Coturnix japonica: one gene and its partner. The protein of the gene in region 1 interacts with the protein of each later gene in a pairwise test. Links are inferred from orthologs where the notes say so. Each region holds a gene or a part of one and is shown in the gene's direction. Other genes may lie near its edges.

Evidence for each region.
Region 2: the proteins of FKBP8 (region 1) and ZFYVE27 interact in binary tests that used the Homo sapiens proteins (3 or more experiments, as listed by UniProt). The link is inferred for Coturnix japonica from reciprocal best matches to the Homo sapiens genes FKBP8 and ZFYVE27.

Annotation. Positions count from the first base shown.
Region 1 is NC_029543.1:2,932,558-2,936,939, forward strand, and holds the start of FKBP8 (peptidyl-prolyl cis-trans isomerase FKBP8), read left to right. Parts: upstream 1-1,500; 5' UTR 1,501-1,506; coding exon 1,507-1,547; intron 1,548-1,585; exon of another isoform or gene 1,586-1,701; intron 1,702-1,820; coding exon 1,821-2,125; intron 2,126-2,258; coding exon 2,259-2,428; intron 2,429-2,559; coding exon 2,560-2,648; intron 2,649-2,755; coding exon 2,756-2,973; intron 2,974-3,047; coding exon 3,048-3,220; intron 3,221-3,313; coding exon 3,314-3,391; intron 3,392-4,382. Other genes in the region: KXD1 (kxDL motif-containing protein 1), read right to left, coding at 1-185, 462-508, 605-757, 841-935. UniProt on the Homo sapiens protein: Constitutively inactive PPiase, which becomes active when bound to calmodulin and calcium. Seems to act as a chaperone for BCL2, targets it to the mitochondria and modulates its phosphorylation state.
Region 2 is NC_029521.1:19,457,199-19,461,674, reverse strand, and holds the start of ZFYVE27 (protrudin), read left to right. Parts: upstream 1-1,445; 5' UTR 1,446-1,473; coding exon 1,474-1,682; intron 1,683-1,756; coding exon 1,757-1,827; intron 1,828-2,053; coding exon 2,054-2,240; intron 2,241-2,360; coding exon 2,361-2,456; intron 2,457-2,616; coding exon 2,617-2,729; intron 2,730-2,812; coding exon 2,813-2,943; intron 2,944-3,295; coding exon 3,296-3,367; intron 3,368-3,534; coding exon 3,535-3,555; intron 3,556-3,742; coding exon 3,743-3,887; intron 3,888-4,152; coding exon 4,153-4,199; intron 4,200-4,476. UniProt on the Homo sapiens protein: Key regulator of RAB11-dependent vesicular trafficking during neurite extension through polarized membrane transport. Promotes axonal elongation and contributes to the establishment of neuronal cell polarity.

The DNA of each region.
Region 1 (4,382 bases):
AGCTGGTAAATCGTATTGGCCCTGTGATAGATCCTCGAAATCCTGACTCGTGGTGGGTGAGATGATGTCGGGGCTGGTGTCGCAGGACTCGGTGCTCTGCTCAGAGGTAGCAATGGTGGTTGTCGTGCTCTTCGGAACCGGGTCGAAGTCGTCGTCATCTTCTAGAATAGGAGATTCGTGTATGTCTGGAAAGGAAGAAGTAGATGTTAATAACTGCTGTAGATACAAACAGCAACATGATGCACTGCAAGGCCAGCCACACTCTGGCAGAAGGATTTTAATCAACAATTGTAATCAACAAAATCAGACCCCATTGCATTTGTGGCTTTGTGATTTCCTACACAATACATTGGATTGTTAACACAGCAGCTGCATGCTGGCAGTCCCAAACTCCCCATTGAAGGCACATTCTGAGGAGGGGGAACCTTGACGAAGGAAGAAGAACCTGAGGAAGCACTCACTGCTGAAAGCCTCCGGGTACTGCTTGGCCAGCTTCCCCTTCAGCGCCCTGCAGGAGGAGAGAGCCACGTTCACAGCTGGACACACACACAGACCCCTTCCATCCTTGGGGTCCCTCACACCATCCCCTCCCAGCTCTTCCTACCGGATCCGACGGAAGATGCTGTCGAGATCCTTCTTCATCTCCACCAACGTCTTGGTGTGGTGCAGGAAGCGCTCGTTCATCTGCTGCATTCGGATGCTCGACAGGTTGTTGAAGTTGAGCAGCATCTCGTTCGTCTTCTCAAAACGATCCAACCTGCGGGGGGGGGGCAGCAGTTCCCGGTGTTATATGAGCGCACCGGGGGCTGCCCCCGCTCACGGGACCCCCCCGGGACTCACATGTTCTTCTGAGCCTGGATGATCGCGTTCACATCCTCGGTGTTCACCATGCCCAGCACCCGCCCGCAGAACACCCGCGAGGCCGTGGGCTCCATCGCACCGCTGCCTCTAAGGGATCCCCGGCCCCCGCAGTGCCCGGTAACGGAACCCCCCCCCCCAAACCCGGACTCGGTATCTCCGTCCGTCCCTCGGCAGCACCGGGGCCGCTCCTTTTCCGTCTCCCTTCACATGACGGGAGAGGAACCGGCGGCCGCTCCTCGCTTCCGGGTGCGGGGTCACGTCGAGCGCGACCCCGTGGCGTCACCGCGCGTGTGCGTCACGGCGCCGGGCCGGAAGTGGTGGCGATTGGGTCTAGTGAAGGGACCGGGTCTGTCCCGGTACCGGAAAACGAACCCGGGGCTGTTCTGTGCGATGGACCGACCTCGCAGGGATTGAGAGGTCCGGGAAAGCTCCGTGGGCCTCCAGCACCCACAGTCGTTAGAGGCGGTGCACCGAGAGCTGCCGGGGTGACGGGCGGCGGGGACACCGGCCCGGTTGGGGTTCCGGACCCGCGGAGCAGGTTCGGTGCTGCGGCCCCTTTAAGACCGCGGCGCGCCGTTCTCGACGCGCCGATGAGGAACGTCGGCGTCACCCAATGGCCTGAGGGGGGCGGGAGGCAGCGGCCCAATGGGAGCGCGGGGGCGGGGCCAGCGGGCGCGGGTTGGCGGGTAGGTGGGAGCGGGGGGCGCGCGGCCGTTGCCAGGGGAGTCCCCGCGCGTGGCGGGAACGTGACGGGGGGACCCCCCGGCGGGCGCGCGCGCGGGAGAAAAGCACGTGGTGGAGGAGAGGGGCGCGGGGCGGGGCTTCCAGGGGCCGGAACCGGTGAGTGGGGCCTCCCCGGGCCGGCCCCGGCGGAAGGGCGCTGTGCGAGCCCGAGCCGCTCGGGTGGTGTTAGACGCCTCATCGCGGTGTCCGCAGTTTGCTGTTTGTATCTCCCGCAGGTCGCTACTCTCTCCCTGCTCTGCCGCCATGGCTTCCAGCGGAGAGGAGACGAGCAGCGGCTCCCCCGGCCGGGCGGGCAGCGGCACCGAACCGCCCAGCCCGGAATCGGCCGCAGCCTGCTCCGCTCAGCTGGACAGTATGGAGGATTTCGAGGTTCTGGAGGAGGACGAGGATGATCTGAGCGAGCTGCCGCCGCTGGAGGACGTGGGACGGGCACGGGGACCGCTGCAGGAGGACGCCCAGTCCGCAGAGCAAGGCCCAGGGGAAGCAGCTGAGGACCCCCAGGAGTGGCTCGATGTCTTGGGTGAGAGCAGGGCAGGAGGGCAGCAGGGCATTCCCAAGATGCTTTGGCGACCACGGAGGCTGAGGTTGGGTTGGGAGTGAGGTTCTCCCCTTCCCTACTATGGGCTGACCACCTCTGGCTTCTCTTGGCCCAGGGAGTGGTTTGCTTAAGAAGAAGACACTCGTGCCAGGTCAGGGGGTGGAGAGCCGCCCCCACAAAGGCCAGGAGGTGACTGTCCGTCTGAGGGCCACACTGGACGATGGCACTGTGGTGGAGGAGAACCCCAGCCTCACCTTTACCCTGGGAGACTGTGATGTATTGCAGGTGGGGCTTGGAGGAAGCTGCTCTGATGTGTGCAACTTCACCCTGGGGGGAGACATGGGGTTGGCAATGTCCTTGTTGGAGTCAGGGTTGGTTGCTTTGCTCATCTTCTCCTGCAACATTGCTCCCTGTAGGCTCTGGACCTCTGTGTACAGCTTATGGAGATGAGAGAAACTGCTTTGATTACATCAGATGCCAAGTATTGCTATGGTGCACAGGGCAGGTGAGCATGGAGAGTGTGGAATGGGATAGGGTGGGCCCAAACAGGGCTATGACAACTATCCCCATTCCCCACTACCACGGCCTGATCACAGCTTTGTGCCACTGCAGGAGCCCTGACATCCCACCCAACGCAGCCCTCACGCTGGAGGTCGAGCTGCTGGAGGCTCGGGATGCACCAGACCTGGAGCTGCTCAGTGGGAAGGAAAAGATAGACCTGGCCAACCGCAAGCGGGAGCGAGGTAACTTCTACTACCAGCAGGCAGATTATGTGTTGGCCATCAATTCCTATGACATCGCTCTCAAAGTCATCGGCTCCAGTTCCAAAGGTACCCCTTTCTGCTGTGAGCGAGGGCTGCCTGTGCTTCCTTCCTGTTGTAACTCACCTCTGGGGTCTTTGCAGTTGATTTCACCCCGGATGAGGAGGCTGAGCTGCTGGATGTGAAGGTGAAATGTCTCAACAATCTGGCAGCCTCTCAGCTTAAACTGGACCATTATGAGGCGGCCCTGAAGTCCTGTAACCTTGTTCTGGAGCACCAGCCAGGGAACATCAAGGCACTTTTCCGGAAGGGCAAGGTGAGCTGCTGCCATCCCTGCACTTCAGCAGGGCTGGGGAGGCGCAGGGACCAGACCTCAGTCACCTCCCTCAACCCCCACCTCATCTTCCAGGTCCTGGCCCAGCAGGGCGAGTACAGAGAGGCCATCCCCATCCTAAAGGCAGCTTTGAAGCTGGAGCCTTCAAACAAGGTAGGCTGGGTGTTCTCATGGCTCTGGCCTTGTGGCCGTGTTCCTACAAACCTCAGTGTACCCCATAGCTGTCACCAGTCTCCTTTGTGTGTGGCCAGGGCAGCTGTGGGGTGGTGTACCAAGTGCCAGCACCTGGTGCTGCAATACCTGAACGTGGCTGAGCTCGTGGGTTCCTTATCTCCATGTTGCAAGACTCTCTTTTTGCCCTTTGGCCCTTGTGGTAGCAGGGATCTCTGCCAGCCCATCTCTGCTTCAGCAGCTCTGCCTGCACGGTCTGGCTTCCCTGTGGCTTGTGCCATTGCTGTGAGAAGCGAGGCAGAGCAAGTTCTTGTCATCTCACTCAGCAGTCTGCAGTGTGATTCATTGGGTGGCCCCAGCAAACCCAAGCCTCAGTCCAGCACCCAGGCCGGAGCAATCTCTGGGTCAGGAATTTCCTGTTAGTTAATGATCAGCTGCAGGACTGAAGCCTCAGGGAAGTCAAAAGCCTCAGCAGTGCCAGGAAGTGGCTCCAGCAAAAGCAGGGCTGGGAGCAGCAGGGGAGGTGCTGCCTGCAGTGGGGGCATTGCTCCTTCATTGGCTTCTCGGTTTTATCCGCCTCTTTGTGGCCATTCCACCAAAACATCACAGTTCACCTCGTGTTCCCTGGTGCCTGAAGGTCACGGGCAGCATGAGGCCCTGCAGGTGCTCAATAGCCTTCAGAGCTCCCAGGCACCTTGTGGTGTGAGAGCCCTCATGAGGAAGGGTATATGGGATCTCAAAGTAGCACTTGGGCTGCTTGTAAGAGGTAGAGGAGCAGAACTGGGACTACAGGGATGGGGGATGCTCTCCCTGCTTGTCCTTTGTGTCATTGCTGCTGGCAGGGCTGCAGCTCATCAGCCCATCTGGGTGAAGCTTTTAATTGAAAAGGAGCAAAAATCAAACTGCCTGGCAGTGACGTTACCAATGAAACCACAAACAAATGATTGGCCTTTCCAGCTGCTTGCTGAGATTC
Region 2 (4,476 bases), on another chromosome or scaffold:
TGTCTGCGAGGGGAGGGCTCCGGTGGTAAGGTCTGCACCAGCCCCACAGGTGGCCGGGGCTGTGCGAGATCAGCAGAAGCACTGGGCAGCCAGAGACTGGGAAGTGTTGGAGGAGCACCATGCTGGAGCTGCTTTGGTTACCAGCTGTCCTCACCCTGCTTGAGGACACATTCTGCCATTGCTTTCAGGGCAGAAAAGGACTGCCCCAGCCCCTGTGTTAGGCTCAGTTTGGAGAGCTGTGGCCCCCGCAGCAGTCACCTGGTGCCTTTTTGTGGGGCTAGCAGCAGCGATGGCACGGAGGGGCCAGGTTGGCACTAGATCACAGCTTCCATCACCGAGGGCTGTGTCAGCAGATACCTGTGTGCTCCCACACTCTGCCAGCCCCTGGGCCAACCCCTGGCAGGATGTGCTATCCCCACCCTGTGTCAGGGCTGGTCCCAGACACTGCTGGCTCCCGTGTGCTCTGGTGCAGCCCCAAGGCCCAGGCTGCCCACACACAGGGAGGCTAGCGCTGCCATAAGTGCCTTACCCCACAACCCCACGCTGCCTGTTGTACCTGCCGCTGTCCCACTGCAGTCCCTTCTCTGGTGCCTTTGGATTCACATTCCAAATAAAGCAACACTGATGCTCACTTGGTGTCTGGGGTTTTGTAGCAGGACTGGGACCTGCAGGGATCAAGAGATGATCACTTACACTCAGCTCTGCAGCCTCGGGGTCACCCCTCCTGGAGCAGTGATTGCAGGGGCCCACTGTGCTCTGGGGCTGTGGGTGCTGAGCTCTGGAAGAGGGGCTCAAACCCCTGCCCTGAGGATGGGCTGCCCCAGCCCTCTCACACCATGGGAGGGATGGAGCAGAACCTGGTGTTTGTGTATCATTACAGAGCGATTATGTTGGAAGGGACCTTAAAGCCCACCCAGTTCCACTCTGCCACAGACTGGTTGCCTGGAAGTATATTATCCTCTGGATACTGTTCCTTCTCCCTTCTGCTGTACCAGCTGCACCGTGCATCTCAGTGCCACGAGGTTCCATGCACACGGAGCAGCCCGCCCTTCAGCTCCATATCCTACAGCTCACAGATACAAGGGCCGGGAACACCGTGTGCTTCCAGGCCCAGACACGCCTGTGTGCGGTGACACGGGGCGCTGCTCCGTGGGATGGGCCGCGCTCATCGTGGGGTGGGAGCAGGAGCACAGGCTGCTCTGCGGCTCCCGGCCTCTTACAGCCCTGCGAGCTGGGCCGGGGCCGAGTGAGGCCGAGTGAGGCCCAGCTCATGGTGAGGCCCGGCGCACCCCGCGCCCTCCCATGGTAACACACCCACTGCCGCCCCGCCGCCACTTCCGCCCTTTAACCATCGCTTGGGCGGAGCTTCCGTCCCCACCTCCCACCTCGGCTCTTCTGATTGGCTGCGTGCCGCGCCGCCGGGTGACGTCACGGCGCACCTGGCCGCTTCCCGGAAGTGCGGTGCGGTGCGGGATGCAGGCGGCGGAGCGGGACGGGCCGGCTGCGGGCGGGGACGGGGCGGCACCGGCAGCACCGGGGGGCGGGGAGGGGTCGGCAGAGCCGCTATCGACACCCAAGGCCGCCGCCTTCGACCTGCTGGACCTCGTGCGGAGCTACCGCCGGCTGCAGATGTACCTGGAGCCGCTGCGGGATGCGGCCGAGGGCGTGCGCTGCCTCCTCCGGTAGGTGCGGGACGGGGCCGGGACCGGGGCTGGGCCCGCAGCTCATTGGCAGCTCATTGTGTGCTGTCCCACAGGTGGCAGCGGCCGCTGTGCTCCATGATCGTCTGCATCGGCCTGAACTTCCTCCTGCTCACCCTGGACCAAGGTGTGTGTGTATGTGTGTACATGTGTGTATTGTGTGTGTATGTGTGTGTATGTGTGTGCATTGTGTCCATGTGTGTGTATGTGTGTGTGCATTGTGTCCATGTGTGTGTATGTGTGTACCTGTGTGTGTGTATGTGTGTGCATTGTGTCCATGTGTGCACTGTATGCGGGCAGTGCTGTGTCCCATCCCACCTTCCTGCCGGCTGATGCTGTGCTGTGTCCCGCAGCCGCCTGGTACTCGGTGCTGGCGCTGCTGGTGGTGCTGCCGGCGCTGCTGTGTTACCTGCAGGAGACCTGCCGTGTCCGGCCCTCGGAGCGGGAGCTGCTGCGCAGGAAGTACCACAGCGTGCGCCGCGAGGACCTGCGCAAAGTGCAGCTGTCACGCCAGGAGGCTCTGACCCAGGTCAAGTGCTTGTGAGTGTCCAGCACCCTCCTGTCCTGGGGCATCACCTTCCCTAGGTCGTGCTGTGTGAGCGGAGCAGGACAGGCTGTGTGTTCGTGGGGCCGTTTCTTGACTCAGTGGTCTCGTTTCAGCCTGATCCAGCTGGAGGGGTTCCTGAGCGGGCTGTGTTACAGCTGTGAGGCGGCGTATCGAGTGCTGTACTGGGAGAACCCTTCTGTCTCTTCCCAGTGAGTAGGGCTGCATTGGGTGCCCTGCGTTGGGCTTAGCAGGGAGAGAGACCAGGCCAGTAGAGCTGCTCTTGTGTTTGGTGCTTGCGGAGAGCAGACAAAGGACAAGGAGAGGGACTGTGGGATTTCTGATTTCTCTTGACCTGCTGCTCTTTCCCAGGTTTTACGGAGCGCTGCTGGGCTCTGTCTGCATCCTTTACCTGCTGCCACTCTGCTGGGTCATGGCCATCCTCAACAGCACCCTCTTCCTGGGCAACAGCCAGTTCTACCAAGGTAAGGGCTCTTCCTGGAGGTAGCCTGTGTGGCTGGAGGAAGGGGAGTGCAACCTTGATCCATCTGTGTTCTCCTCTTATCAGTGATAAAGGAGCTCAAGGCCTCTGTTGAGCAGAGTTTGGGCACCAAACCTCTTGAGAGCCCTCCAGAGCCTGCCAAGCCCCTACCAACTGATGCCCCACCAGACCGGACTCCCACACCCACCAGCACAGAGGTGAGGGGTGGCAGGGCTCAGAGACTTGGGGTGGGAGCTGCAGCTTCAGCTCTTGCAACTGGTTTTGCTTCTGTCCATCTGCACACAAAATAGTTTTGCTGGAAGCCTGTGTACCTGGCTCGGGATTCCATATTGAACTGCTGAGGGGATGCCTTGCTCTGCTGGGTTCTTCACTCTATCTTGCTATGTGTGTGGAGTTACCCTGGAGAGGCAGGGGCTCTCCCTACCTTTTGATGCTCACTTTATGGGTCTGCCAGTGAGCTGGTGCTTCATTCTAGAGCTGCCTTGACAGTGTGGTCTTTACTTCAAAGGCGGGTGAAATAGGATAGGACTAGCTCTGATTCTCTTGCAGGATCTTACCCCTGGCAGCGTGGAGGAGGCAGAGGAGGCAGAGCCTGATGAAGAGTTCAAGGATGCTATTGAGGTTTGATCATGGTGGGGGTGGGCTGTGCCTGCAGGTCAGGCAATTGGGGCGGAGGACTGCTGTGACAGGGCAAAGTGGATGCCTGGGGAGGGCAGGAGTGGGGCTGGGCACCTCTGCAGTCTCACTCCATCTCTACTGCCTCTCTTTGTCCCATGCTGCGGGAGAAGGAGAACCAGCTGCTGGTCATGGTGAGTACTGCTGTGCTGAGGTGTGCGAGGGGGCATCTCTTCCCAGCTGGAGCTGGTAGCCTTTACCTGGTTTGGCAGTAGCTTGTGATGCTGACAGGTGAAGCATCCTGTTTTCATGCTTGTCTCTGGGGCAGGCTGCCCTATGGCCCCTCACTGCTTTTTGCTTATTCAGCTTTGCTCCTTATAGGAGGATGATGAGGGCTCTCAGTGTTCAGCAGATTTTGACCTCAGCCTCCCAGACAACGGTTTTATGAGCAAAAACGATGTGATCCGCAGCAAGGTGTCACGTCTGACTGAGCGCCTGCGCAAACGCTACCCCAGCAACAATTTTGGTAAGGCCGAGAGCAAGTGTTGTCTGGGGAACCTCAGCACTGTGGGGTCTGTGCTGCTGTTGGTGACCACTGAACTGTGAGAGGACAAAGTGACGTGTTACTTTGTCCTGGCACCTTAGTGACTCTTTCCCCCAATGGAAAGGGTATTTGTAGCTCTCCTGGGGACAGCAGGGTTGGGAGGGTCTGTACAACAAATGTGGGTGCTCTTGTGCCTTAGGGTCCCAAGTATCAGAACCCTGCCTGACCTCTTATCTTTCTCTTCTAGGGAGCTGTACAGGCTGTGGAGCCACCTTTTCTGTGCTGAAGAAGAGGGTGAGTCTTCAGTTTCTCCAGCTCACTAGCCACACTGGGGCAGAAGTTCTGTGTTGTGTCTGGCTTGACCTGGCTTTTCTTGTAGCTAGGATGGCTGTTTTCAGTCATGACCCAACAGTGGATGACTTCATCTAAGTGCTGGGTGTTGTTTCATACCTAAATGGTGGCAAGGAGCCTTTTTGCCTTTTATTTCTCTGGAAGCTGCCTGAAGCCAAACCTCAATGCTGCCATGCAAGGCACCTGCTCCTGCACCCTAGTTTGGCCCATTCTTGTTACC